Sus scrofa: one gene and its partners. The protein of the gene in region 1 binds, or shares a complex with, the protein of each later gene. Links are inferred from orthologs where the notes say so. Each region holds a gene or a part of one and is shown on either strand. Other genes may lie near its edges. The genes, in order: SNRPG, CRIPT, USP39, BUD13, LSM2, LSM4 and RBM48.

Evidence for each region.
Region 2: SNRPG (region 1) and CRIPT share a complex: the UniProt entries of both Homo sapiens proteins name them as parts of the minor spliceosome. The link is inferred for Sus scrofa from reciprocal best matches to the Homo sapiens genes SNRPG and CRIPT.
Region 3: SNRPG (region 1) and USP39 share a complex: the UniProt entries of both Homo sapiens proteins name them as parts of the U4/U6-U5 tri-snRNP complex. The link is inferred for Sus scrofa from reciprocal best matches to the Homo sapiens genes SNRPG and USP39.
Region 4: SNRPG (region 1) and BUD13 share a complex: the UniProt entries of both Homo sapiens proteins name them as parts of the minor spliceosome. The link is inferred for Sus scrofa from reciprocal best matches to the Homo sapiens genes SNRPG and BUD13.
Region 5: SNRPG (region 1) and LSM2 share a complex: the UniProt entries of both Homo sapiens proteins name them as parts of the U4/U6-U5 tri-snRNP complex. The link is inferred for Sus scrofa from reciprocal best matches to the Homo sapiens genes SNRPG and LSM2.
Region 6: SNRPG (region 1) and LSM4 share a complex: the UniProt entries of both Homo sapiens proteins name them as parts of the U4/U6-U5 tri-snRNP complex. The link is inferred for Sus scrofa from reciprocal best matches to the Homo sapiens genes SNRPG and LSM4.
Region 7: SNRPG (region 1) and RBM48 share a complex: the UniProt entries of both Homo sapiens proteins name them as parts of the minor spliceosome. The link is inferred for Sus scrofa from reciprocal best matches to the Homo sapiens genes SNRPG and RBM48.

Annotation. Positions count from the first base shown.
Region 1 is NC_010445.4:72,197,086-72,201,556, reverse strand, and holds the start of SNRPG (small nuclear ribonucleoprotein G), read right to left. Parts: upstream 2,836-4,471; 5' UTR 2,714-2,835; coding exon 2,682-2,713; intron 1-2,681. UniProt on the Homo sapiens protein: Plays a role in pre-mRNA splicing as a core component of the spliceosomal U1, U2, U4 and U5 small nuclear ribonucleoproteins (snRNPs), the building blocks of the spliceosome.
Region 2 is NC_010445.4:93,923,027-93,927,571, forward strand, and holds the start of CRIPT (cysteine-rich PDZ-binding protein), read right to left. Parts: upstream 2,891-4,545; 5' UTR 2,757-2,890; coding exon 2,741-2,756; intron 817-2,740; coding exon 751-816; intron 1-750. UniProt on the Homo sapiens protein: As a component of the minor spliceosome, involved in the splicing of U12-type introns in pre-mRNAs. Involved in the cytoskeletal anchoring of DLG4 in excitatory synapses.
Region 3 is NC_010445.4:59,146,578-59,150,356, forward strand, and holds part of USP39 (U4/U6.U5 tri-snRNP-associated protein 2), read right to left. Parts: intron 3,460-3,779; coding exon 3,390-3,459; intron 189-3,389; coding exon 94-188; intron 1-93.
Region 4 is NC_010451.4:44,162,403-44,166,839, forward strand, and holds the start of BUD13 (BUD13 homolog), read right to left. Parts: upstream 3,000-4,437; 5' UTR 2,833-2,999; coding exon 2,690-2,832; intron 468-2,689; coding exon 374-467; intron 1-373. UniProt on the Homo sapiens protein: Involved in pre-mRNA splicing as component of the activated spliceosome. As a component of the minor spliceosome, involved in the splicing of U12-type introns in pre-mRNAs.
Region 5 is NC_010449.5:23,899,878-23,902,976, reverse strand, and holds the end of LSM2 (U6 snRNA-associated Sm-like protein LSm2), read left to right. Parts: intron 1-1,789; coding exon 1,790-1,820; intron 1,821-1,937; coding exon 1,938-1,997; intron 1,998-2,111; coding exon 2,112-2,237; 3' UTR 2,238-2,592; downstream 2,593-3,099. UniProt on the Homo sapiens protein: Plays a role in pre-mRNA splicing as component of the U4/U6-U5 tri-snRNP complex that is involved in spliceosome assembly, and as component of the precatalytic spliceosome (spliceosome B complex).
Region 6 is NC_010444.4:59,498,096-59,502,380, reverse strand, and holds the start of LSM4 (U6 snRNA-associated Sm-like protein LSm4), read right to left. Parts: upstream 2,822-4,285; 5' UTR 2,706-2,821; coding exon 2,703-2,705; intron 2,454-2,702; exon of another isoform or gene 2,393-2,453; intron 731-2,392; exon of another isoform or gene 291-730; intron 1-290. UniProt on the Homo sapiens protein: Plays a role in pre-mRNA splicing as component of the U4/U6-U5 tri-snRNP complex that is involved in spliceosome assembly, and as component of the precatalytic spliceosome (spliceosome B complex).
Region 7 is NC_010451.4:72,443,280-72,447,820, reverse strand, and holds the start of RBM48 (RNA-binding protein 48), read right to left. Parts: upstream 3,011-4,541; coding exon 2,867-3,010; intron 2,330-2,866; coding exon 2,139-2,329; intron 47-2,138; coding exon 1-46. Other genes in the region: PEX1 (peroxisome biogenesis factor 1), read left to right, coding at 3,205-3,453. UniProt on the Homo sapiens protein: As a component of the minor spliceosome, involved in the splicing of U12-type introns in pre-mRNAs.

The DNA of each region.
Region 1 (4,471 bases):
TGAGTGAGGCCAGGGATCGAACCCACATCCTCATGGATGCTAGTCAGGGTCTAAACCCACTGAGCCACTATAGGAACTCCCCGACCCAATATTCAATGACAGAATCTTACGACCAAAACAGAAAAACAAAGATTTTGTTATATTTTGGTTATTTTAAAAACCAAACAAAGTTGTGAAGAAATCAGAAGGTAATCAAACCATATCCAATCCAATGGATATTTTATTTTATATTTGAGACAATACATAGTGTTTTATTTAATATTAAGCAACAATCTTAAATGTTCAGGATATTCTCCAACACCCAAGTATACTTTAGCAAAATAAATGCATATTGAAATTTTAAATAATTTGAATTAAGCAACAAAATTCCATATCAGCAGGGTAGTATGAGAATATGAAGCCAAGGGCGTTCCCGTCATGGCTCAGCAGAAGTGAATCTAACGAGTATCCATGAGGATGCAGGTTGGACCCTGACCTCACTCAGTGGTTAAGGATCTGGCATTGCCATGAGTTGTGGTGTAGCTCACAGACACAGCTCCGATCTGGTGTGGCTGTGGTTTAGGCCAGGGGCTACAGCTACAGCTCCCATTCGACCCCCCACCTGTGAACCTCCATATGCCGTGCGTGCAGCCCTAAAGACAAAAAGAATATGAAGCCAACAAGTCAAACCAGTTTTTACCTCTTTGCTGTAGGCTAGAAAATATGAAACTTCATTCAATTTTAATGTATATCATGGAGAATTCAAAGATAAATAAGACATGAGGCCTGAAGAAGGTGTAAGAAGACAGGTTTTTACAAATAAAAATATATAGTATGACATGTAAAACAATCAATTTTACTAGGATGTTATAAAAAAACACAAATATAACACATATGAACTTATTTTATTTAATCCTTATGAAAGCTTTTTAAGTTATGCATTGTTATTACCACCAATTAACAGATGGGGAACCAAGGCCCAGAAAGGTTAAGTAAAATTTCCAAAGTCACTCAGCAGTGAAAAAGTTTGAGCAAAATCAAATGGTTCAGTTTGGCCCAAGAACATGGTACTCAAATATTAGCGTGTGTAATATTTGGTGCTTGGATTTCAAATGGAGGAGCGTTACTGCTGGTTCAAGAAGTCTGGACTTTATTATGCAGATGGCAATAAGTTACTGCAGCAGTATCAGGCATGGCTAAGATTACTGAAGCATGTGTAAATCAATCCATTACGCTGTACATCTTGAACTTACGTAGTGCTGTAGGTCAATTTTATCTCAAAAAAACTGGGGGAAAAAAAAGACTACTTTGGCAATGATTTTTAAGAGGGGTAGGAAGAATATGATTGGGCCAGGGTATCTCAACCTTGGCATACTGACATCTGGGACCAGATAATTCTGTTGTTGAGTGATGTCCAGTGCACTGTAGAATATTTAGCAGGAACCCTGGCCTCTACCTACTAAATGCTGGTAGAACCAGACTCTCTACACCACAGTTAAGAACCACAGAATTATATTAAAAGCAGACGGAAGATATAAAAATGCAAAAAAAAAAAAAGATTTCGGGCCTCGTGGGTGGCATGCGGAAGTTCCTGGGCTAGGGACTGAACTTGAACCACAGCAGTGCCATGTTGGATCCTTAACCGGCTGAGCCACGAGGGAACTCCAAAAAAAGATGGTAAGGAAGAAAAAGTTAAAAGTCATTTTGGAGGTAGACCTGGCAGGATCTCACAATTATTGAAATCTACATATAAGAAAAGAAAGGTAATTAAAAACTCTCATTAATATCTTAAGAATCAAAAAGGAAATCTTACCAAGAACACCCCCCCAACAAAAGAGCCTTCTCTAATTAGAGAAAAATGAATGTTCTCACGCATTCCAGTTAACAGAGCAAAATATCACACATTCAAGTTCAACCTAAGTGCAAGAAATTAAGAAAAAAGAACGGGATTTCTTTTTTTTTTTTTGTCTTTTTGCTATTTCTTTGGGCCGCTCCCGCGGCATATGGAGGTTCCCAGGCTAGGGGCTGAATCGGAGCTGTAGCCACTGGCCTACACCAGAGCCACAGAAACGCGGGATCCGAGCCGAGTCTGCAACCTACACCACAGCTCACGGCAACGCCGGATCCTTAACCCACTGAGCAAGGGCAGGGACCGAACCCGCCACCTCATGGTTTCTAATCGGATTCGTTAACCACTGCGCCACGACGGGAACTCCCAAGAACGGGATTTCTAAGTTAAAGCTCAAAGGAACCACCAACACACTAAGATGAAGGCAGCTTTTGAATTTCTCATATACCATCAAAACAATTCCATTCCATCCACCTCCTTAGTTCCTTACAGAATTACTGTCCAACCACCTTATCTCGAACGTGATGCTACTCAAGGCGTTCAGCTAACTGTGGTATTCAAGATCTTTAAGTAACGAAGGATCGAGTGCCAGAGACCCGGCCAGGAACTCCGGCCTGGGAGGCAAACCTGCAGACGGAGGGGCCTTTACGTCTTTGAAAAGCATGCCCACCAGGCCGAAATACAACATTTGCGCGGGATGCAGGCCCGGAAACGTGGGACGGTGGCCCGGATCGCGGCGGCAGCCAGTGGCAATAAGCACGGCAGACACACTCTCCGGAAATGGCTGGGGATCCAAGGAACTCAAGGCCTACAAAGAAGCCGCCATTTATGCGCGGCCCTCATGCATACTTACTTCTTCAACTCCGGCGGGTGAGCTTTGCTCATGATGCCTACTCCGCGAACTCAAAGAAACCTCCAAACGGAATTCGTGTTCTCCCTCACGCTCCAGCGGTAGGCCCGGTGCTTTGCGTCTGACGTCACTGATCCCGTTAGCCAATTGATTGTTGGCCGCTTTCACGTTTCACGTCGCGATACTTAGGAAAATCCTGAGCTCGCAGATCAGTCCCAAGCTTCCGTTGTGTCGCCAGGGATTGGCTAGAGCGGAGGGGTGGGGCCTCCAGTCTTTATATTCCTCTTTGTAATTGGGTTGCTGTTCCTGCCTCTAGCATTTGAAGGACGCTGGTTAACTCATTGTCTTTGTGGGTTGCAAAGTTGTCTTGACGCTACCAGATGAAAATAAGCTCTGGAGGGGTAGGCTCCTAAAAATTTCTTTGGCATGTGTGTGCATACTTCCATGTGTTGTTCTTCCCTTTGTTGTCCTCTGCAAACACTGCGGTTTTTTTTTTTTTGGTCTTTTTAGGACCGAACCCTCCGCATATGGAAGTTCCCAGGCTGTGGGTCAAATCTGCGCTGCAGCTGCTGGCTTTTGCCATAGACAAAGCAACGCTGGATTCTTAACCTACTGAGCGAGGCCAGGAATCAAACTAGTATCCTCATGGATACTAGTCCGGTTCTTAACTCCCTGAGCCACATCGGGAACTCGTTTTTTTTTTTTTTTTAATTTAGCAAATTGAAGGTTTGAGGCAGCCCAGAGTCCAGCAAATCTCCCAGCGCCATTTTCCCAAGAGCATTTGTTCACTTTGTGTCTGTGTCATTTTGATAATTCTTACAGTATTTCAAATTTTTTCATTACTGTATTCGTTATGGTGATCTATGATAGGTAATCACACTAAGAAAAAAAAAATCTTGTGACTTGCTTTGAGGTATTTGCTTCACTGTTGAACCTGTGGTATTTTAGTATTCCCACAGGATGTCATGCTACAACTAAGGTTCTAGTAACAGCTCAGTTAACGACCTCTGCACCAAAGGAATAGAGTGAGGGGGCCTCAGTTTCCAAAAATTTTAATCTAGAGGAGTTCCCGTCGTGGCGCAGTGGTTAACGAATCCGACTAGGAACCGTGAGGTTGCGGGTTCGGTCCCTGCCCCTGCTCAGTGGGTTAACGATCCGGCGTTGCCGTGAGCTGTGGTGTAGGTTGCAGACATGGCTCGGATCCCGCGTTGCTGTGGCTCTGGCGTAGGCCGGTGGCAACAGCTCCGATTCGACCCCTAGCCTGGGAACCTCCATATGCCGCGGGAGCGGCCCAAAGAAATAGCAAAAAGACAAAAAAAAAAAAAAAAAAAAAAAAAATTTTAATCTAGAGGTCATAAGTATATTCCCCACGGACAGTCCTGCAATGCTTCCAAAACCCCACTTAACTGTACCTTGCCCCTCTATATAAAGTATGAAGAGCAGCACACAGATGATTTCTAAAATATTGATTTTCAAGTCGAAAGGTGTAAAAAATGGTCTGATTTGATCCTAGTTAAGTTTCCCAAAAGAGGAGCAGCCCACATTTATGAATCAAGAACAATAGGGATTATAGAAGACTTAGGCCAAAACGGAAAAGCATTGGTTGTACAACTGGGCAGCAGAAACTGACAGAACATTGTAAATAAACTATAACAAAAATTAAAAAAAGGGAAAGCATTGGTGATTTTAAGTAGGGATGGTTCTACAAGATTCAGTTCATTTCTTAGATATATAAGTAGAGACAAAATTATCATATATCTTACTCAAAAACCTCGACATTGCATTTTCTCTAG
Region 2 (4,545 bases), about 22 Mb from region 1:
TGCAAAATCTAGATGCCACTACTTTGGTGCCACTGACCTTAAATACAGTGATAATGTTTCTTTTTCTTCCCTTTAGAAACATCTTCACTGTAATTAATGATTGTGAAGGTGAAAACATTTAAATGATTTGTTCAAGAATATAAAAACCAGGTGAGGAAAGGGGGATTTAAATAATAACTCTAGGAGTTCCCATCATGGCGCAGTGGTTAACGAATCCGACTAGGAACCATGAGGTTGTGGGTTCGATCCCTGGCCTCGCTCAGTGGGTCAAGGATCCGGTGTTGCTGTGAGCTGTGGTGTAGGTTTGCAGATGCGGCTTGAATCCCATATTGCTGTGGCTCTGGCACAGGCCAACAGCGACAGCTGCGATTAGACCCTAGACTGGGAACCTCCACATGCCTTGGAGCAGCCCAAGAAAAGGCAAAAAGACAAAAAACAAACAAACAAAAAATAATAATAATAACTCTAGTTAGGCTGAACCAAATCAGTTACTATGATATACTCATTGCTTAAAAATCATTCAATTATCTCTATTTCCTGACTACCAAATTAGGAACCCTGACATGTCACTAAGAAAACTAAGGAGATGAAGTTATTAAATTGTTGTGGGGGGGAATGTCCAGTATTCTTTAATATTTAATAGATGAAATATGCTGTATGCTTAACAACATTTTACAAATAATGTAAAAGCTAAAACATTATTCACAGGAAGTATCTGATTTAATTTCTATGTTCTAAAAGGAAAAATACCTGTGGTATTCCTTGCACCATCTTTCCATGTATCTGGAGTGATAACAGTACCAAGTTTCTTTTCACCTGTTATAACAAGATAACAAAAGTGGGGGGGGGTTAGCATTACTATCTAATAAATACACTACATTGTGCCTTAAGTTTACAATGGTATTAATATTCATATTACATACAAATCTGTTATTGCTGAGGCTTGGGGCCAGTGAACTGAGACTTATGATACTAATTGTGGGCCATGGATAACTGACTCTCAGTCAAATCTGTGGATAATAGTATGGCCTATAATAGGCTTGTTTCTGTACATTAATGCTTTAAACAAATCTGATAAATCTGTTCATTTACTAAATATCAGTGATATATAAACCATTGTACAAAGTACAGAGAAAAATAAAATGAATTAGATAAGGCTCTAGATTTCAAGGAGTTTACATCATACTGATTTATCTCTAACAACAGTTCTTAACCTGAGTTTTCACATGTGGACCTTAGGAAATACATGAACAAGATGAAACTGAACACAAACCTCTGTATATCCATTTTTTTTTTAATAGACTCTGTTAAGTCCACAGCTTTTGTCACATTCTCAAAGGGCTCCGAGAACAACAACAAAAGTTTAGCATTATTCAACTGAAAGTAAACAGTATGTTAAGAGCTGAAGTACTAAGATACATTCCATGGAGGAAGAAATAACCTTGACTAGGGAAATCCAGGAAAGCTTTGTGAAGAAGGCAGTAGAGAGGGTTTGTGGTAATGAGACCATGAAGAAAAAGGAGAAAGGAGGATGAAGGTAAACTGGATAAAGGACACATCCTGATAAAAGGCGTGGAGAACTCGAGGTACATGCAGTCAGGCAAAATAGTTTGGCTTGGCTGAACTGTAAAGATGGTAAGGGTTAGTGAAAATAAAGTTAAAAAGGTAAGATGTGGCCTCATTGTAGAGGGTCATCCTGAATGCCAGTCTCCAGATACAGAAATCCCAAATTATTCTCTGCACCTTGAGAATGTATTAAAGTAACTGTCATGGTCATTCTTTCACCTAATCTGAAAACTGTGATTCAAATTCTGTGTTCAAAGCTATAAGGCTTTATATACTGTGGGGGGGGGGTAAACGAAATGGATCAAGTTAATTAGATGATAATCAAACTGACGATAATCAAATTAAGAGGACATGTTTAGACTCAGGAAAACGGGAATAAGACTGCTCTTTTTAAATACACAACCAGTTTGTGGGAGCAAAAATATCAAATCTCAGAGGGTGGTATTAGAATTACTGGACGGCAACTAGAAGAAGGAAAGACCTTTCTAAAAGCCAGTAAAATCAACACGGACTGCTTCCAAGGTGGTGAGATTCTCCTACACACCGGCCACCATTCCTCAATACTCTGGGTATTCGTTCAAGGACCATTTAAGCACTCACAGCATGTGGAAGTTCCTGGGCCAGGTATGGAACCCTGCGCCAAAAGTTAGATTTAAATTTCAAATAAACAATGAATACTTTTTCAGTAGACAATGTCCTAAAAGTAAGTGCCTTGCTTTACAGCAGTAAGGAGCAGCAAACAGAGCCAAATCTCAAATATTGCATAGGACGCACACTAAAAATTATTCTTGGTTTACCTGAAATTCAAATTTAACTGGGCGTCCAGTACTTTTATTTGCTAAACCTAGCAACTCCAGTTGCTGTGGAAGCGACTTTTAAGATCCATTTCAACCTGAAGCTCTGAAATGAGGGAGCCAGTCAAGAAGCTCAGGGGTTGAACGAAAACAATGGAAACAGACAAGGAGGTGCAAAACAGACAAGGAGACCACCCTGAATGCAACAAACGGAGGACTATACGGTCGATGGAGAGGCAGGAATGGTCAAAGGGCAGGACAGAACAGAGGCTAGAATCAGAGACTTGTGGCCAAAGTAAAAACAAAGGAATAAAGTCCCGGGGAACTCCAGTTAGGTTGTCCCAGCCTTCTTCTCCCGCAGAAGAGTTTCCTTAACTCACATTTTTCGCACACCATCCTTTCGCGACGATTCCCTCAGTCGCAGTAGGATCGGGAGCTGGAAACCATCAACACCACAGCTGAGAAAACACTCCCCTTCCGGGTTATGAAAGTCCACTTCCGGATCCTCCGCCCCGCCTATTCTACACCTGGAAAGCCGCGGGAGGAATAAAGGAGAGCGGGAAGGCGGGGCTTCCTTCTTGGCCCACCTCTCCACTTCTGCGATTGGTTGTGAGGCCTTCGGTCTCCGCCCTGCTGGCCTGCGCCTGCGCGAGACTCAGGGCGGCGAGTTGCACCTGATGGTGGGAGGTAGTAGCCCTCCCGTTCTCTTCCGCGAGCGGGAGAGTTAGGTAAGCCCAGCCGGACGCTCCCGGCGCACGAGCCTCCAGCGGCTGCAAGCCACCCCCGCCAATTGCCCAACTGATCGGAAATCTCTGCTACCAATAGGCCCTTGCCCGCGGGCCCCTCGAGCGCCGCCCTTCCGGCGTGACCCAGGGGCTGCCCCGATGAACTGGCTCTTTTTCAGTTCCGACTTTCTGTGTTTGTCCCGCCGTTTCTCTTGGTCTTTACGCCTGTGCTCTTTGATTATGCTTCTCAGCTTGTCCCTTTCTGCCCACAGTCGGCTGGGGCTTGGGCAGAGTCCGCAGCGACCCAGTTTGGGATGGGGCTGGAGATTACGGTCCCACGATTCCCGCGAAGGCGCCTCCAGGAGCCTTTCAGAATGGCCCTCTCTTCCGCTGCAAGGCTTGAGGATCTGGGCCAGGTCAGACCACGGGCACCTGGGCAATAGCTGCCCCAGGGGGCACCTGGCGGAAGTCCTCCTGAGCTCTCCAAGGCCTAATATAAGGCTGGTTTCTCAGGAAGGGCAACTCTGCACCTACTCTTCGTTCATTCACTCATTCACGCAGCATTAAGTTTGTGTATTGCTCACTGTCTTATGTACAAATCTGCTCCTGTCAATTGGGATTTTGAGGGTGGCCCAGAAGAAGATAGGACCGGTGAGAAAGATTTCCTTTCTCCTTTCTTGCCATTCATACCTCCTAGTATATATCTATATCATCAAAAAGGTTAGCTAGGGTTTGAAATGGCTTTAGCACTTGGGACCTTGGTAGCTTGCAATGTTTACTAATCTCTGCTAGTCTTTTTCCTTATCAGTAATGTATTTTCTTTTGAAAAATATAGTGTGAATAAATGAGAGTGTTAGGATAAGGCCTGGATTTGCCCTTTTACCCTTTTATATATACGCACACGTACACATATATGTGTGTGTATATATATGGGGTTTTATTCTGGACTAGTCACCACAGTGTGACACGTGGACTCCTTACTTAACATTAGTCAATACTACATATAAGCTCTCTGTTAGATAATTTGTAAATACATGCATACATAAAATAGATATATAGAGATGGGAGAGAGAGAAAGTAAAATTTTTTTTCCCTTTTCATGAAGCTCTTCTTTTCATTGGAATCTAGCGTCTGACATTGCCATTTTGGTATTTTGGGGCGCTGAGATCCCTTAGTTTAGCATGATGTTTTTTGAACGCTCTTGATGACATTGACCACCATTTGTGTATTTCAGTGTGCACCTGCTGTTTCTTGGTATTTGCTAGAAAATGTGAACAACTGTGTTGATAGACAATGGAACACAGTGATTAAAAAAGAATGCCAACAATTCAGCCAAAGTATACTATGGGGTTTCTAGAACACGTATCTTGTATTTCCAAAGGATCCAATCATTAACCCAGGCAGTTTGTTTTCACCTCTGATTTTGGCAAAAAAAAAGGAATTAAAAAAAAAAAAGAAAA
Region 3 (3,779 bases), about 13 Mb from region 1:
CAGCTTACTTTCTTTCAAAAAACGACTCTCTGCAATAGACCTGTGGTTAGCACTGAAGATTCAGCAAGTCTGTAATGCAAAACATCTATTTACCTTGAAAGTACTTGCCACACACCAGACAGGCATAGGCATTGATATGTGACAGAGAGATGGAACACAGTTTTTCAAAGTCAAAGTCCAGCACACTCCTAAGAGAACCAAAATAAAACAGAAACAATTAATAGGGATGGATGCCTAGGCAAGCACCGAGTGAAGCAGCATTGGCTCCGTGTTCCCACGTAGCATCCTTCAGAGAATGGCTCAACAACCACATACAAATCATGGGAAACATGAACTCTTCATTACCTAGACATTTAATACAGTACCTCCACCCACCAAGCCCCAAAGTAGTGTAAAGGTATCTCCATCAGAGTTTCCACTGTGGCACAGTGAGTTAAGAATCTGACTGCAAGAGTTCCCATTATGGTTCAGCGGGTTAAGAACCCAAGTAGGAATTCCCATCTTGGCTCAGTGGTTAAAACGAATCCGACTAGGAACCATGAGGTTGCAGGTTCGATCCCTGGCCTTGCTCAGTGGGTTAAGGATCCAGCATTGCCGTGAACTGTGGTGTAGGCCGCAGATGCAGCTCGGATCTGGCATTGCTGTGGCTGTGGTGTAGGTTGACGGCTACAGCTCCAATTAGACCCCTAGCCTGAGAACCTCCATATGCCATAGGTGCATCCCGAAAAAGACAAGAGACAAAAAAAAAAAAAAAAAAAAAAGAACCCAACTAGTATCCATGATGATTCCTGGCCTTTCTCATTGAGCTAAAGATCTGGCATTGCTACAAGTTATGGCATAGTTTGCAAACGTGGCTCAGATCTGGCACTGCTGTGGCATAAGCCAGCAGCTGCAGCTCTGATTCAACCCCTCACCTGGGAACATCCATATACCACAAGTGCAGCCCTAAAAAAAAAAAAAGAAAAGAAAAAAAGAATCCAACTGCAGCAGCTCGAGTAGCTGCTGCAGAGGTACAGGTTTAATCCCTGGCCGGGTGCAGTGGACTAAAAGGATCAAGCTTTGTCCCAACTGCAGTTTAGATTCAATCTCTGGCCCAGGAACTTCCCATATAGCCATTAATTTTTTTTTAAGTTTTTAATTTAAAAAAAGAGATATCTTTATCAATGACCCTCTTTCTTTTTAGTATTCACAACCAGATGAGAATCTTCTATTACCTTCTCTGGAAGGAAAGCTACAAGTAGGACTAAAGTAACACAGTGCCAACAGCATTTCAAATGAAAAGACTGGGCATAAAATGACATAAAAAGAGCAAATAAACCCATTCATAAAAGAAAAATTTATTAAGAAGGCCATAAAAATAAGTGAGAAGTCTGAAGAATTTTAGGGAAATACCCAAAAACAGATCTATCTCCTCAAGTCATGGTATATGAACACTAGACAAGTGACAAAAAAAAAATTATTAGAAAAAAGAATGTATATATGTATGTGTGACTGGATCACCTTGCTGTACAGTAGAAAATTGACAGAACACTGTAAACCAGCTATAATGGAAAAAATAAAAATTATTAGTAAAAAAAACAATTTACCTCTACTGAATCCACAGGTGGCAAAGGGATTCCTTCTCAAGTATTAACTCTAATTAATCAGTAATGGTCCTAGGACAGCTGCACTGTCCATTAAAGGTGACACGAGGCACACATGGCTACTGGAGTTTAAATGTAAATTAATTAAAATTAAATAAAATTTAAAATTCACGGGAGTTCCCCTGTGGCACAGCAGGTTAAGGATCTAGGGCTGTCACTGCAGGGGCTCGGGTGGCTGCTCTGGTGAAGGTTCAATTCCTGGCCTGGGAACGTCCACGTGCTGCATGTGAAGGGTGCAGCCAATAAAAAATTTTATAGAATTTTTAAATTCAATTACTCAAGCCAACATTTCAAGTGGTTAGTAGCCACAGGTGCCTTGTGCCTACCACAATGAACAGCCCTAAAGAGCCACTCCATTGGTGCAAAAAAAAAGTCTATTAGACAGAGTTACCCGAAAGCATGTATGAAAAATCATCCTAAGATGCATCTGGGATCAAAAAATATCAGGATGAGGCAACCACCTCTGCTTTAGGACATTTTTTTTTTCTCTGCTGAATCCCAAGCACCTAGCGTAATACCTAGCACAGAGCGGGTGTTCAATAAATATTTAAATTTGCTATTGTCATTGACACAGTGTATCCCTTTACTTCCTCATACAAATTCAAAATGAACTACAAGTTCTCTGTGCATGTGCCCACCCTGAAAAAACATGCCCTCTGACACTTTCAACTGAAGGGCAAGAGTTCCCACTATGATGCAATGGGATCAGCAGCTTCCTAAAAGCAATGAGACACAGGTTCGCTCCCTGGCCAGGCACAGTGGGTTATGGATCCAGTGTTACCACAGCTGTGGCTTAGGTGGCAACTTAGATCTGATCCCTGGCTGAGAGGCAGCCAATAATGAAAAAAAAAATTTTTTTTTTTTTTTTTTTTTTGTCTTTTCTAGGGCTGCTTCCCGCGGCATATGGAGGTTCCCAGGCTAGGGGTCGAATTGGAGCTGTAGCCACCGGCCTACGCTAGAGCCACAGCAACACAGGATCTGAGCCACATCTGCGACCTACACCACAGCTCACGGCAATGCCGGATCCTTAACCCACTGAGCAAGGCCAGGGATCGAACCTGCAACCTCATGGTTCCTAGTTGGATTTGTTAACCACTGCACCATGACGGGAACTCCATGGAAAAAAAATTTTTTAATAAATACATAAATAAACTGAAGGGCAAAGATTAAAAAACATGGCAAGAAGTAGAATTTTCTGGGCAGAGAGCCTTTTTTTTTGGCCACACTCATGGGATGTGGAAGTTCCTGGGCCAGGGACTGAACCCATGCCACCCCTGTAACCAGAGCCACAGCACTGACAACGCTGGATTCTTAACCTGCTGAGTGAAAATGGAACTCCCAGAAAGCTTTAAAAGAGATAAAGTTTTTTTTTTGTCTTTTTGCTATTTCTTGGGCCGCTCCTGCGGCATATGGAGGTTCCCAGGCTAGGGGTCCAATCAGAGCTGTAGCCACCGGCCTACACCAGAGCCACAGCAACTCGGGATCCGAGCCGCGTCTGCAACCTACACCACAGCTCACGGCAACGCCGGATCCTTAACCCACTGAGCAAGGGCAGGGACTGAACCCGCAACCTCATGGTTCCTAGTCGGATTCGTTAACCACTGCGCCACGACGGGAACTCCTCCTAAAAGAGATAAAGTTTTTGAACATATTGCTCAACATACAGCCCAAAGAACTTTCTGCAGATTCCACTGTTCTTTTGCTGCCCTCTGCATCCCTGTGCTAGTGCATCCCTGTGCTACAGACCTGTTAATGGTATCCAGGTATGGGCAGTGGCGGCTCCTCTGGTCCTCAGAATCCAAGCGGCCATTCTTTGCTGAAAGGAAAATCATCAACAGCTTTGAAAATGGGAAAGCCATACTCAGGACCAACTACCAATAGAAACAAACACAGTGATAGGGAAAACTAATCAGGACGAGCTCCTGTATGGGTAGCCTGACAATACCCAGAAAAGCCACAAACTGAGAGAATACACTTGAAACACACATAACCAACAAAGGAATTGCTTGCAATTATTTAAAGAAAGCCAGTGAACAGATTTTTTAAAAAGACAACCAAACAGAAAATGAGGAAGACTTCCCACAAACATATGAAAAGATGCTCAGTCTCACCAATGATCAAGAAAATGCAAATCTC
Region 4 (4,437 bases), on another chromosome or scaffold:
AGCTCTATCACTGACACTGAGGAATCCTGCCTCTCTGTGATTTGTTCCCATTTCCAAGCTGATAGGGCCCTCCATAAACAAAGACTGTGTATAGCCATCGTCAAAGAAGACTATTTTACAATAGCTCCAGGAAAGTGTCACCTCGTCTCTGCCCTCAACTTTTCTCCTTACAAATAAATATACCCTGCACTGGGAGTTGAGATTGAGAGGCTTACACTTCAAAGTCCTCACAGCCTCAAAAGATAGAGGAGTTCCCTGGTAGCCTAGTGGTTAAGGACTCAGCAATTCACTGCTGTGATATGGGTTCGATCCTTGGCCTAGGACTTTCTCATGCATGCCCCTTGCTCGGTCAAAAAAATAAAAAGATACATACCACAGGCAAATCTCCATCATCTTCCTCTTCCTCCTTTTCCAGTTTAGTGGTGGAGATAGATGACCAGCTCACGTCATCATCCACAATCCGCATACTAAATGTGGAAAATAAAAAGATCAAAAGAGAAGAATCATTCTTGGTTAACAGCCAACAAACATCTATCTATTGGTTTTAGGCTAAAGCTCAAAATCCTACAAGATCTTATGGTCCATTCTTTGCCAGTATGGCCAACTTCATCTTATACCACTGCCTTCTCGGTTCCCTACTCACTGGTCATCTTCTGCTGTCTAGAATGAGCCAAACTCTTTCCCATATCAGTTTCACAAACTCAATTCCTTCTCTCTGCCTGACCTACTCTTCTCATTCTTTACTGGGAAACTCCTATTCATTCTTAAAATCCTAGCATATATATGACTTCCTTGAGCATACCTTCCTTGACTATTTCCCTTACCATCCCCAACTAAGAACCCCTGCTAGACATTCTTGGAATATTTCTACTTCATTTATCAAAAAGGAAATAAATCAACAAGTTGTGTAATTAGTTGCTTAACGGCTGTATTCCCATTGAACTATAAGTTCCATCAGAATAGGGACTATGCCTCTCTTATTTACAGGGATATCCTGCACCCCTCAACACCTTAGCATAGAGAATATTCAATAAATTTTGTTCCATAGATAAGCTATGGATGAGTCCAAATAATAAAAATAACTGCCATGATGTAAACAGTTATTTGAAAAGCCAAGATCATTAATCACAATCATTTAATATAAATGATACCATTCACTACTACTCTCATTTTAAATATGAAGAAATTGAGGCTTAGCCCAGAAAGTGGCACAGCTAGGACTTAAATATTGATCAGTGTCGCTGCAAAGCTCAAGCTAATTTCACTACATGGCACTTCCTCCAAGGAATCCACACAAGTCAGAGGGGGCTGGAAGACATAAAGGAAGAATAACGGGACAACCAAATCAGGAAAGGAAATGGATTAGTCCCTTGTAGCTATCTGACTTTACTGGGTAGTTTCCTAGAGCTGCCTAATAAAGTACCACAAAACTGGGTGGCTTAAAACAACAGAAATGTATTCTCTCACAGCTCCGGAGGCTTCAAGTCTGAAATCAAGGTATCTGCAAGGCAACGCCTGCCAGGAAGGCTCTAGGGGAAGATCTTTCCTTGACTCATCCAGTATCTGGTAGCTCCTAGTGGCATATGAATCCAGTCCAGTCTCAGCCTCCATCTTCACACAGTAATTTTCCCTCAAAGCCTGTTTTTGTATCCAAATTTTCCTCTTCTTAAAAGGACATCAGTCATATTGGACTTAGCGCCCATCCTAATTCACTATGACCTCATCTTAACTAATTACATCTACAAAGACCCTATTTCTTCTTTTTTTTTTTTCTTCTTTTTGTCTTTTTAGGGCCGCACCTACAGCATATGGAGGTTCCCAGGCTAGGGGTCGAATGGGAGCTGTAGCCCGCCAATGCCACAGCCAGGCAGGATCCGAGCAGCGTCTGCGACCTACACCACCGCTCATGGCAACGCTGGATCCTTAACCCACTGAGCGGGGCCAGGGATCGAACCCACAATTTCATGGATCTTAGCCAGTTCGTTACCGCTGAGCCACTGACAGGAACACCAGACCCTATTTCTAATGTCATACTCTGAGGTCCTGGGTGGTCATAAATTGGAGAGAAGAGGCACTATTCAACCCAGCACGCTGGGCCACGTAATTTTCCTTGTTTGACAAATGGGGTTAACAACAACATCTACTTCATGGTAGCGTTATGAAGCTTAAATAAATTCATGTATATCTAAAGGACTCAGAACGGTGCCTGGCACATGACAAGAACTGTACAAATGTTACTTGGTGGTGGTAGTAGTAGTGGTAGTAGTAAGAATAACAGGAAATGAGCACCAGGTTTCCAACTCAGGACGGGAGTCCTTAGGATTGGAGAAGCGCCCCCCCCCCCCCCGCCCCAGACAGGTTCTGGGCCCTAAATACCCAAGCCCAGAGCCTTTGAATTCGCTCCACCAATACTTTCAGGGTATAATATTCATTCTCTGCGAGAGAAGACGGACTGCTATAAAAGCGGGAAGAGAGTAATGAAAGTTACAGCCTGGCCTGAATACACCCAAGTTACTGCCGAAGCGCGCGAGAAGCGGCCCCGGCCGACTCTGGGCTGAGGCAGGGTCGGGCGAGCAGTCAAAGCCGGGCAGCCCGCGACCCGTCGAGGAAGAGCCGGGCCGAGGGCGGAGCTGGGAAGGCGGGAGGGGGGGGGCAGCCCCGCGGACCCAAGCCGCCAGACCCAACTCACCCCTTGCCGCCAGCCCCGCCAGTCTTCGGCCGCTTTTTGCGACGCTTGCGGCCGGATTCAGGGCCCCCGTCGACACCGGCATCTGCCCCGGACAAGTAACGCTTCAGATACTCGGCCTTGGAGAGCGGCGGAGCTGCCGCCATGGCAGCGGCGAGGGCGGGGAGACGGACGGGCGCTAGGGACAAAATTCTTGAACGCGAAACGAACGGCGAGGACCCTAGGAGGCGCAACCGGGCCCGGAAGTGGCCGAGTATTTGGAGCAGTCCAAGCTGATAGATGAAAGAGAGCGTTTAAGGGCTAATGAGGAATGAGCATATCTCCGGTGCCCAGTCTACATCCCCCCGCCCCCCGATGCGCAACCGTGTTTTTCCTGTTGTCCATCTATCTGCTCATTCAAGCCTTATTGCAGCAACAAGGCTACAACTGCGACTCCAGAGATCTACTTCAGAGTTGCAGCGCATCTAAGTTTGAGTTCTGGTTTCATAACTTCCTAGCTGTACGACCTTGGGCAAATTATTTAACAAAATGGGGATAAAAATCACACCTAAATCAATGGTTGCAATGACTTGAGAGAATATTACCGTGTAAAGTGCTTTGAACAGCATCTGGTACACAGTATGTTAGTTATTTTTATTAGCATGTTTAGATGGAGAGGAATCTGCTTTAATAGGCCTTCAAGAACCACTCAAGAGAGGAAGTCAGGAATTCCAAACCCAGTATAATTGTTCTGAAAAATATGGAGGTTTCTAACCTGTGTAACTTATCCACATTCGGTATTACTGGTTGCCCCTAGCTATCTCTTGTGTGGAAAATCTCCAGTGCAAAGGACTTGGATCTATTTTCAGTATCGTGAAAGAAGCTAGAAAGACTGAATTCTAATACTCAAGTTTGGGGAGAAGACTTTTTCTTGTAAGCATTAAGAGCTTTACTTGAATTATCTCATTTAACCCTCATGTTTCTCAGATAGTTTTATTATCCTTACAGATGAGAAAACTGAAACTTGGAGAAGTTAAGTTGCCCAACTTCACACAGCCAGAATATATGACCCTTGGGAGCAGAGGCCAAAAAGGTGGGGTACAAGAGGTAATACAAAATTTCTGGAAAAAAATTATATCTTACATTCTATGTATCTCATTATATATGTTAAATCACTGTAACTGTTTCAAGGCATTACTCAAGAAGGCATTGTCATACTTTATCACTAAATACATGTATCTTGGGATACATGTTCAGAAAATACTTATATGTAACAAAACAGGTTTGGAGATCACCGCCCTGAAGCAAGAAATTTTAACCTCTGGGCCATACTGACTGGTCACAGCACCGGCCCAGGAAGAAAAGCAGGCTGGGTCTCTTGAGGGCTTGTGAGAAGGGGGCACTGGACTGACAGGGGAATCAATAGCTGCAGGGGACCATAGGTCCCCCACCCACAACCTTGCCTTGGCTTCTAGTCTGCTTTAATGTACCTCAAGCTGGTGTCAGCAGACATGGGGAGTCTCCCACTGCCACTCCAGTGAATATTACTCCTATAGTTCTCTCAACCCCATGCCCTCCTGCCCTCTTCTGTCATCAGTTCTACCTCTACCCATTCCACTCAATACCTACCCTTAGCCTGACAAGACCCAAGCTCTAGTCTTAACACTTCCTCACAGGGCAGTTAAGCAGGACCAAAGGAATTCATGACCAGTGGCAGTCTAAGTTTTACCCTTTCCCTGCAGTTCAATGCCCCCGCCTTCCCTGACACCACC
Region 5 (3,099 bases), on another chromosome or scaffold:
CCAGGCTAGGGGTCCAATCAGAGCTGCAGCTGCTGGCCTACACCACAGCCACAGCAACTCAGGATCCTAGCCTCATCTGCAACCTATACCACAGTTCATGGCAAGCCGGATCCTTAACCCACTGAGGAAGGCCAGGGATTGAACCTGCATCCTCATGGATCTTAGTCGGGTTCATTAACTGCTGAGCCATGAAGGGAACTCCTGAGAACCAGGATTCTAAGGAACTTAGAATCTGGCGATGACATGCGGGATGGTTAGGATGAGGGCAGCGAGTTGGAGGCTGGACTGGATCGAGCTGTAAAGGTATAAGACCTTAGTTTGTAGAAAGAGAATAACAAATGTTAGACATCAAACAGTGGGGGTTCGTGGTTCATGGAGAAGTACAAATTTCGGGATTTGAGATTTTTGAGACTTAAGTGTTGAAACCACTGGCAGAATTAAAGAATTGGAAGAGAGATAACATGGCGTGCAGCGGTGGTGTTTAGATAGCCTTCCTCGTGAACATTTCAGGGGTTCAAGGATCGAGGAAGGGAGAGAACATCGCTCATGCCTGTGTCATCAAAAACATCACCAGTTAGGAGTTCCCATCTCGGCTCAGTGGTTAACGAACCCGACTTGCATCCATGAGGATTCAGGTTGGATCCCTGGCCTCAATGAGTGGGTTAAGGATCTGGCATTGCCATGAGTTGTGGTGTAGGTCACAGATGCAGCTTGGATCCCAGGTTGCTGTGGCTCTGGTGTAGGCTGGTGCCTACAGCTCTGATTGGACCCCCTAGCCTGGGAACATCCATATGCCGAGGGTGTGGCCCTAAAAAGCCAAAAAAAAAACAACATCGCCAGCTAGCTACCTTACCTGCTTTACATACAGAGCCCTGGTTCCAAAGCCAGTATTTGAAAATAGCTAATGGTTCTGGGGGACAGGCCTGAACCAAAGTCTCTATTTGTTCTAAACTTGTCAAGATACACATTTCTGAGCCCCTGGATGGTTAATAGCTACCTTGTGAAGTGGCTGCAAAGATTACAAACGTGCGGAATAAAGGTCTAGCACATAACTTTTTTTTTTTTTTTGTCTTTCGTCCTTTTTTTAGGGCCAAACCCTTGGCATATGGAGCTTCCCAGGCTAGGGGTCTAACCGGAGCTATAGCCACCGACCTGTGCCAAAGCCACAGCAATGCCAGATCTGAGCTGCATCTGCGGCCTACACCACAGCTCACGGCAACGCTGGATCCTGAACCCATTGATCAAGGCCTGGGATCAAACCTGAGACCTCATGGTTCCTAGTTGGATTAGTTTCTGCTGCGCCATGATGGGAACTCCCACAAAACTTTTTTTGATGGTAGCTACTAAGAGGGAATTTAGGGAGAGATGTGAGGTCTAAACACACTGCTCTGGAAGCAGTTTTTTTCCTACCCCATAGCTTAGGCATGCCCCTTGTTGGTTCTTTTTTTTTTTTTTTTTTTTTTTTTTTCCTCTGCTTTTTTAGGGCCACCCAAGTGCAGCATATGGAAGTTCCCAGGTCGAATCAGAGCTTCATCTGCTACCCACACCACAGCTCATGGCAACGCCACATCCCTGACCCACTGAGCAAGGTCAGGTTTTGAACCCACATCCTCACAGATTCTAGTTGGATTGTTTCTGCTGTGCCACAAGGGGAACTCTGGTTCTACCTTTTTTGGTTTCTTCAAGTCCTTTACTTCCCGCAACCATGTTCTTATCCTTGCTCTAAAATCACCTCAGTGTTGACTTAGGTATAAACTATTTTGGTTTTTCTTTTCTCTACCTCTGACAGCATCTGTGGAACCCTCCATTCTGTGGATCAGGTAAGACTGTAACAAGGGCCCTGATAGGGTCTTGGGGAAGGAGAGGGGAGAGCTTAAGGGCTGGGAACTTGCATCTTGTCTCTGGTTCTAATGATGGTGTTCATCTTCTTTTCTTAGTATCTCAACATCAAACTAACTGACATCAGTGTCACAGACCCTGAGAAATACCCTCACATGGTGAGTTGTAGATGGTAGAGATGAGGAAACACCTCTCAAAGCAGGAGGTCCCTGGGTGGATAGAGGACATTTTTGAAGCGTGTTTTTTTTTTACATTTGTGTATCTTTGTCCAGTTATCAGTGAAGAACTGCTTCATCCGAGGCTCAGTGGTTCGCTATGTGCAGTTGCCAGCAGATGAGGTTGACACACAGTTGCTACAGGACGCAGCAAGGAAGGAGGCCCTGCAACAGAAGCAGTGATGGCTGCTCCTCCCTTTCCCTCCTTCCATCGGTGATTCTGAGCCTCATGTCCCAGCTCAGGATGCCTCCCTCCCATACTTGAGGTGTTGTTTTTTTCACAGCAAAGTTTTTGTGTTTTTTTTAAGGGATGAGTGGATGAGAGTAATAATAATGGAGAGCTACTCTCCTGTATTGAGAAGGGGAGGAAAAGGAAGCCCGGGAACTGCGAAGCCTTCCCTATCCCCAGCACCTGCCTTTCTCACTTCTTCCCTGGAGGTGGGAGAATCTCCCAGGTCTTTCTAGGGTAGCATGTGATTCATTCTGGGGATGGAAGGAATCTGTCCCGCATCGGGAATAAAATTTATGATGCAAATTCGAGTTCTGGTTCTGTGTTTTGGGAAGGGGGCTAGAGAGTGGGAAAGGGATGCTGAATTCACCCAGCCCTGTTACTCTCATTACCCAAGCCAAGGCCCCAACCCGTCCTGTCCGTATTGGCTACCACTCTTCCTGATACAAACCGTACCTCAGTTGGACTGCATGCCCCCTACCTATGCAGCCTACCTACCATAGCCTTTTCCTAATACTGTACCTGCGAATGTTTGCTGTCCTTGTATTAAGGTGGAAGCTAATGAGACACCTAAATGCGTTTGATGCTGGATCTAGTGCTTCCCCAATATCTATTGCATATAAATACAAGTGACAACTTTCATTGTGGAGAGTTGTGACTGGGAATTAACTCTAAACTCATTTAGCAAGTAAGAGTTCCCGCCCCAGATGAGGGTTCTCAGGACGAAGGGCCGTTAGAAGCCATCCAATTCGACTCCCTCCTCCCACGTAGAAGGAAATGAGGCTCAAGGAGAAGCTGGACACCAGGACCTCGGCC
Region 6 (4,285 bases), on another chromosome or scaffold:
TGTATCCACAACGGGAATCAGGACCAGAGCAATGACACACTTGAGTCCTCCTCCCAGATCACCGGAGACGGGGACAGGGCCAGGCCAGCCCCTGTCCTGGAAGGTGAGAATGAAAATGGACTGTGTGGAGAGGTGGAGGGAGTAGGAGTAGCACAGCCAAGGCCCCTCTAGATGAGGTACCAGCAGCTAGGAGGGACACCCAAGGATACAGAGCAAGGTCTGGGTAAAGCCGGGGAAAGCAGATTAATGCCTGTTAGCAGAAGACCCACAGATGTCCTTTTATGGCATACCTTGCCTTCAGGCTGTCTCTCTCAGGCTACCATCCTGTCCCAGCTACGAGTAGCACACCCCTGGAGGACCCACAGCCTTTGCAGCTGTTGCCAGCAGTGTGACCTCAGAGGACGGCAGCGACACAGATGGAACCAGCACCTGCTCACACCCTCCCCTGCACACCCGCTCCCTTGGCTAGCCACAGAGCCAGGCCTGACACGGCTCTAGCAAACTGGCCCGCTCACTTCTTCACACCACGCCTGGTGCTATTGGTCAAACTTTGTTCCTTGGTTCCCTCTACCTGGGGTGCCCTCCCCCAGGCTGGTGACTTCTGCTTCAGCCAGCCCCTCATTATAACCCCATCAAGGGAATGAGGTTTCCACCTGGGCCACCCTCTGCTTCTATTATAGGGTATAGCCAGTCTCTAATTAACTTGTTTATTTATTACGTCTCCCTGGCTAGACTGGAAACACCAAGCCTCTTGCTAGACTGGAAAATTCAGAGGGTGTGGACTTTGTCCAGTGCTGAACACTGGGCCAGGCACATGCAAGGGACTCAGTAAATATTTGCTGACAAATATAGCACATACCACCCAGGGAGGCACTCCAGGCAGGGGGTGGTGACAGGGGTGGGGTGGGGTGGGGAATACTTGCCACACCTCACAAGACAAGGAAAAGGAGAAGCTCAGGTAGGGAAAGGTGGCATTGGGACAGCCCTCCAAGACTTCAACAACCGCAGCAGTGGTCATATCTACTTCCTTGTTCCCAAACGCTGTTGGAGACAAAGGCCAAAGGAAGAGGAGGAACCTGGTGAACTTGAAAGCGAGGGGTATGCTGGGGTGGGGGAAAGCATGAAGGTGCCAGGGATACAGGAGAGGGCAGATCACCCAGTTCAGGGGGGAGCAAGGGCTGTGTGGAATTTGGAGTCATAAAAAGCTTCAGGGAAGAGAATTCTTTTCTCTAGCCTTTCTCAGAACATCTGGGGTCTGGCCCTCAGGTCTAGGTCCATCCACACCTAAATACATTTATTTATTTGCTTTTTAGGGCCGCACCCATGGCATATGGAGGTTCCCAGGCTAGGGGTCGAATTGGAGGTACAGCCACCAGCCTGCGCCACAGCCACATGGGATCTGATCCACGTGTGCAGCTTACACCACAGCTCACAGCAACACTGGATCCTTAATCCACTAAGCAAGACCTGGGATCAAACCCCCAACCTCATGGTTATTACTCGGATTCGTTTCTGCTGTGCCACAATGGAAACTTCCACAACTGGATTTAATGGTGTCCTGAGGTTCCCAACTCAGGAAGCTGCTGATCACCCACTCCCTCACCCAGACCTTGGCTTGGCTTCCGCCCCACCCCGACCACAAGGAACAGGCAGTGTGTAATGCCTTAGCCACTCCTGAACACAGACTTTGCACAGACACTGTTCTAGGCTCTGGCAATATATGAGGATAAAACAGAGATCCTATCTCCATGGAGCTTAACAAATGGATTCTTCCACAGACCAACTCTACCCTCCAGAGAGACGAACAGAGAGAACGAAGCTGCTCCCTTCTCTCCATCCCTACAATGACCAGAAGAATTACTGAACCCTCATGGTCAGCTCCGAAAAATGTGCAGCGACCATCTTAGAGGACTCGAGGGCTGATGGGCCAGGTTCTCTCCCAGCTCAATTCCTCTGTGTGGGCCTCCATTTCCCTGTCTGTCACTCACTGGGGACACAGGCACGCTGGTTTAGATCTCCAATTTCCACAACTTGTGAGATGGCATGGCCCTGGGGAGACTTCCTGCCAGGGCCTCGATTTTTTTGTTTTCTAAACTGGGATACGGTTAGCCCATCCATGGCTGAAAACGCCCCCCCTTCCCCTGGAACCATATGCTGTGTGACCCCGGAAGAAGTTAACCTTGCTTTGGGTCTGCTTTTTAGTCTGAAAAGGAGAGGCATAAGAGGTTGCGCAGCTAGCATTCCAAGGGCAGTACAACCCCCGAAATTCCCCAGATTGGCTGAATTTGAGAAAGAAGGCCGGCCCCCTACTGCCTGGTGCTCTAGCTTTACTGTCTAGGAGGTCAGATCGGGTCGGATGCACTGGGAGCCATTTCCCCGTCCGAAAACTCACTCTGCTGCATTCACCGGGCCCTTCAGCAGGTCCCCTTCCTCTCTGGCCTCAGTTTCCCCATCTGCAAAATGGGAAGACTGCTGCCAGACTGCCATACTGTGATTTCATTTCTATCCAATCCCAAGCTCCCCCGAGACCGACGTGCTTGGTGTCCTGGGAGAAGCTCTTCCACTCTCCGGCCTGTCCTCCCCACCTTGGGCGAAGGGGCAGGACTCAAGGCCCAGATTACAGGCTGGCTCCACAACGCCCCTGAACCAACAACCGCCCCGAGGGCCCTTGGCGGCCGGCTCCCCCGTCGCACCGCCCTCACCATGGTGTCGGCGGGGACTAGGCTCGTGGGCTACTTCCGCCGCCGCCGCCGCTCACGTTCCCGCCGGTAGCTGCAGCTCTGCGCGCCACTAGGCTGAAATGGAGTGGCAGCAACGCGAGCCAGTCAGCACGAGGCTCATGGGAAGGCCAACCAATCCACGCGGAGTAAGGCGGGGCCTATTAAACACGAGGGGCGGGGCGGGCCGCGTTCCTACCGGAGAAATGAGAGAGAGAGTCGTAAAGTGCCGCTATGAGTGCTGCAAAAGGGGGCGGAGCAATGTGCGCCGGCGCAGGAGGCCTTGTGGGTAAGGGCGCCTGCGCAGGTGCAATCTTCAGTGATTTTTCCGGGCTCCACGCTGTGGGCAAAACGGGGTAGTGCCTCCAATTTCCAAATGGAGGAATGGCAGCTCTATGGTTATTGCCATGTGTCCCTTCGAGCTCCTACTCTTCTGATTCTCTTTATTGTAGTTGACCGTTGTCCAGGGCACTTCTTTTGATAGGCTAGACGTACCGGTGTGAACCTCAGTTTGCTTCCCTTTGAAATGGGCTTAATAATAGTGTCTGCTTTAGAAGGTTGCAATGAGTGCCAAGTGATTTATGCCTTGTAAAAGAAGAGTGCCCGGCACGTACTGAGCACTTGATACACGGACATGCAATAAATATTTATTGAGCATCTACTACGGGCCTCCTCCTGGAAACACAGAAGAGAATAAACCAAACAAAACTCCTGGCCCTCCTGAGGTTTAGGAGCCCACTGGGGAGGCAGACTGTAAACAAAATAGACAAATGTATTAGTTTCCTTGGGCTGCCATAACAAATGATCAAACTGGGTGGTTTTATTTTTTTATTTTTATTTGAATATTTTTTGCTTTTTAGGTCCTCACCCATGGCATATGAACGTTCCCAAGCTAGGGGTCGAATTGGATGGAGCTACAGTTGCCTACACCATAGCCATGGCAATGCAGGATCTGAGCAGCATTTGTGGCCTACACCGCAGCTTCCTTAACCCACTGATTGAGGCCAGGGATTGAACCTGAGTCCTCATGGATACCTAGTCCGGTTCCTTACTGCTGAGCAACAACAGGAACTCCAAACTGGGTGGTTTTAAACAGTAAAACTTAATCCGAAAGACTGAAATCAAAGTTTTAGCAGAGTTGGTTCTTTCTGAAGGATCTGAGGGGCAATTCATCCCATGCTTCTCTGCCAGCAATCCTTGTAGTTCTTGGCACAGATTCCTCTGTCATCACATGGTGCTTTTCTTTGTGTGTCTCTGTGTCTCAACTCTTCCTCTTTTTTTTTTTTTTTTTTTTTTGTCTTTTTGCTATTTCTTGGGCCGCTCCCGCGGCATATGGAGTTTCCCAGGCTAGGGGTTGAATCGGAGCTGTAGCCACCAGCCTACGCCAGAGCCACAGCAACGCGGGATCCGAGCCGCGTCTGCAACCTACACCACAGCTCACGGCAACGCCGGATCGTCAACCCACTGAGCAGGAGCAGGGACTGAACCCGCAACCTCATGGTTGCTAGTCGGATTCGTTAACCACTGCGCCACGACGGGAACTCCTCTTCCTCTTTTTTTATGAAGGC
Region 7 (4,541 bases), on another chromosome or scaffold:
CAATCCACCAAAGAAACTCTGTTCATCCATTTTTCTCTTGGCTATCCTAAACAGAAATACAAAATATTATGGTTTCCTGATCTAGATTTACTTAGGAAGAAAGCTTGACTAGTACACAATGCACTGACCTAAAAAGCAAAGTCCAGGAACTCCCATTGTGGGACAGCGGAAATGAATCCGACTAGTATCAGATTAGTATCTTAGATTAGATTTGATCCCTGGCCTTGCTCAATGGGTTGGAGATCTGGCACTGTGAGCTGTGGTGTATATCGCAGACACAGCTGTGGTGTATATCGCAGATCCCGCCTTGCTGTGCCAGCAACTGTAGCTCCGATTCAACCCCTAGCCTAGGAACTTCTATGTGCCGCAGTGTGGCCCTAAAAAGCAAAAAAATAAATAAAAAGCAAAGTCCAGGTTTTGCCAAGTGTATATACATCTTATACTTAGGGAATAAGAATTTCTGCTTGTGGACAGCATGACTCTACTGATCCAGTGCCTACTCTTAGAGCCTTTCTTTCCCTCTCCCTAGTCTTAATAGGTTTCAAGTCATCCATACCTATCCAGACTCCCTTTAACCAATACTGGATCCAGCTGGTTGGCCTGAGGTACACAATCTGTGGTTATGAAATAGAGATTTTTCTCTATGTTAAATGGCTCTTGAGCGTTAGCTCATACTTATTTTAGCCTTTTTGGCACAATGTGTTCCTATAATGGGATTCATATTTAAGAAATTAATAAAATATTGAAATTGTAACATTCAATAATGGAGGAAATATTGAATATATAACAATCAATGAGAATGGTATTCATTCAACAAATAATTTTTAAACATCTGTGACTGGCCAGGAATTACTACAATAAATAAGCACTTCAGTGCCCAGGGAAAATGATAAATACTTACTGAGATTTTACCACATCCCAGGCAGTGACCAAAGTGCTTAAGTGCTTCTCTTGAATTAACACAACAACCCTCTGATGAAACTGAAGCCTAGAGAGATTTATAACTTGGCCATTCTCACATTAGCTTTTGGAGCTAAGATTCAAATCCAGATGTCACACTGCATGACCTACTGTACCAGGTGGAGTGAGAGATGCAAAACTCCTTAAAATACACAATGAGAAAATATCCCTAACCATGAGGAGCTGACAAATTGGTTAGGGTAGTGAGATTATATATAACGGCAACCTGAGAACAACACACGATGACATTAACCCAAGTGATTTATGGCAGAAAGACTACAAGGGCTATCTGTAGCACAGAAAAGAAAATATGAATTCTAACAGCCAAGAGAAGATGGGTCTTGGAGCCTATCAATAAGAATAGGAGTCAACATAAAAAGAGCCAAGGCCCCAAGTAGAAAGGAAGAAGAGGGTTAAATTGGGGATTTGGGATTAACAGCTACACACTACTATATGTAAAACAGATAAACAACAAGGACCTACTGGTTAGCACAGGGAACTCTATTCAATATCCTGCAATAACTTATAAAGGAAAATAATTTGAAAAGGAATGTGTGTGTGTATACACACACAAATAGGTATATGTGTGTGTGTGTGTATAACTGAAACACTTTGCTGTACACCTGAAAGGTTGTAAATCAACACTTTCATTTTTTAAAATGAGGGAAAAAAGAGATAGGGCATTTCGTACTTAATTGTTGGAGAAAATTTTATGTTATATAGAAGGAGATTCAATTACACAGGTCCATAAAATAAGAGATCCAATACCTAATGTTTACTGCCTTCTGAATAGAAGGCACTGTGCTAAGCCCTATACATGGATCCATGTCATCCTCACACAACCTCCGTAAGTAGGTCCTTTTACCATACTGGTGTCTAAAGAATAAGAAAACAGTCTTAATGGGGTCAAGTAACCTGTCCATGGTCATGATGTTAGTAAACAGTGAAACTTGAAAATTTACTCCCAAACCAATTTTTAATCTACCATACTACACACACAAAAAAATTGTTAAGCATGGGAATGACGTGATAGAAAGAGTTTGGTAGGGCTAACATTTAAAAAGACTAGAAGAATACAGGGTCATGTTAGTTACTGGGTAATTCAGAAATGAATGAGGGAGGCCAAATGTAGGCAACGGGAATGGAGAAAATGAGACACTGTTTAACTTGCATATTACCTTGCACTTTGTAAATTGAGAAATTTAATAAGATAAACTTCTGTAAAGTCTTCTGCTGGGTATTCATCTAGAGCATTATACTGTTCAATTGCACCATACAAAGCAAATCGCTCAACTAATTCCTTCATGGCTCCGACTGCAGGAACTCCTTGTATTAATAAGTACCGAGATTCCAAATTGATCGTGTAAACCTATAAGAAATCAGACACATTAAATGTATTTCACAAAGAAGCCTGGGACAAATCTAATCCTATATTTTTTTAAAGTTGAAAAAAACACCTTTCGACTGGTTTGCATAAAAACAGGAAATCTAAAAACTTGCCCCTCTCTCTACATAATGAATAGTTTACCCTTCTTGCAAAGGCCTTTAGCTAAAGCACGTAACATTATCTTCCATCAATGTGTTTTCCACAAATTAGCTCGGTAGAAGTTACAGGGACGAGTTAACAAGTATTCGCTGAGCGTTTACCATGTAACAAGGACCACTGTAAACACGGAAGATACAGTGACTGAAACACAGCCCTCTTCTCACGGAGCTGAGGTTCTAGCAGTAGACTAAAGAGCACTCAAGCATCTTTGGTACTTGAGTACCAGCGTTTTTCATATTCTTCTTCAGTTAATCGATGTGACCGCAGCCTCTCAAGATGTTATTTACGTAAGCTGGGCATGTGAAGCTGGAACTCACAGAAAGCTACCGGGGATAGCGATTGAAACCAAAGTCACTTTACCCTGACAGCGCGAGGGCGGCGCCCCTCTCGATACTTGGCCCGCGAGTCGCATACAGCCCTTTGGACGTGGTGATCGAATAAGCCTCCTAGCTGCCCGCCGCTCAACGCCATCTTGCCGGTGTTATCCCTCGCGAACGACAACATCCGCCCCGTTGCCCCACCGTTTACCCAATAAGAGAGAGGGGTGAGTTAAGGCGTTCCGAGATTGGCTGAAGAATCGACACCGTCGGCCATCGTTTCCTGTGAGCGAGGATTTGGTGAAGAACGTGTCGCCCCCCAGCGGCGCGGCGGAAAGGCCCTGAGAACAGGCGCAGGCGTGCTGGCCCCTCCCGCTCCGGATGCGCCGCGGGGCCTTAGGGGGCGGGGCCGATCGATCGTCTCCGGGTCCGACGCCCGCGACCTGCGGGGTTGGCCCGGGAAAGATAGGTTGGGCGGCTGGGGGTCGGTGCCTGCAGACAATGTGGGGCGGCGATCGCCTGGCGGGTGCTGGCGGAGGCGGGGCGGCCGTGACGGTGGCCTTCACCAACGCTCGCGACTGCTTCCTCCACTTGCCGCGGCGCCTTGTGGCCCAGCTACACCTGCTGCAGGTAAGGCGCCCGCTTGGTGCCGGGCTCTCACCACCGACTTGGGACAGCTGCTGGCCAGTCTGCGGTCGGCCGAGACCCAGGCCTTTTAGGGACGCAGCGGCCGCTCAGGCCTCTCCCGGCGGCGGGATTAGGGCTGCTTTCCCAGCCCCGCCGACCGGTTCAGAGGCCACACTGAGGACCCCTTGCGGGCAGGGCTGGCCTGGGCGCTCTTGACAGCCACATCACGTCTAGTGCAGCACGGCTTCTTTGAGTTGACCTGCTGTATTCCAGGTCTTTTACTCGCCGGAACTGGGCTTTGAAACGCCCCGATATTCTCCCTCTTCGTTCAACTATTCCTCACTCCAGGTTGGAAAAGCTCTTGAGAAGTCGGGTTTGTTTGTCTTTTGGGATTCTGTTCTGTTTTGTTTCATTATTAGAAAACGTTTTTCCTGCCAGCGATTTCCAGGTGCTTGCATGGCTGTGGTCCCGGCCTTCAGAAAGAGGGGCGGACTTGGTTTGTGAAGTCTCTATTGGTTAACAGAGGTGGAGCCCTGTGTCCCACGAGCGGGATAGATTAATATGAACCTTCTTCCTGTGTCTCCAAACACCTCCGGGGTGCTCCAGGAATGTGCTGTGGGAGTATGCATACTTGGTCATAGGTAGTTAGAATTCCTTGAACCTCTGTTTTCACTTGCGCTCTGCACCTTGTGGTTGTGGCGGTTCATAGCTCTAACACTTGCATGGTTACAGAGATGCAACATCTGTATTTTCCTAATTGTAAAGTGGAGACACCTGGTTTACGAGTTTGAGCGTGCTTGCTTAAGGGGCTAAAAGGATAGGCTGTTTGAAATCTTCGAAAATCCTGAATGCATAGTACCCACTGGTTTGCAGTAATTTCAACAGTTTGCAATAATTTCAAATATCTCCCTTTTCCATTTTAGCTACTTCTCTGTAACTCCTTTTCTAGAGTATTTTCCCCTATCTTTCATAGCACATTAATTTCAACAGATCCTGCCATTATTTCTTTTACTATAAAGTAGGCAGTCTCTTGGCCCTGATAAGCTTCCTTCTGGCTGGAGATGAGTTAGTTATTATCACCTGGTCCCAGG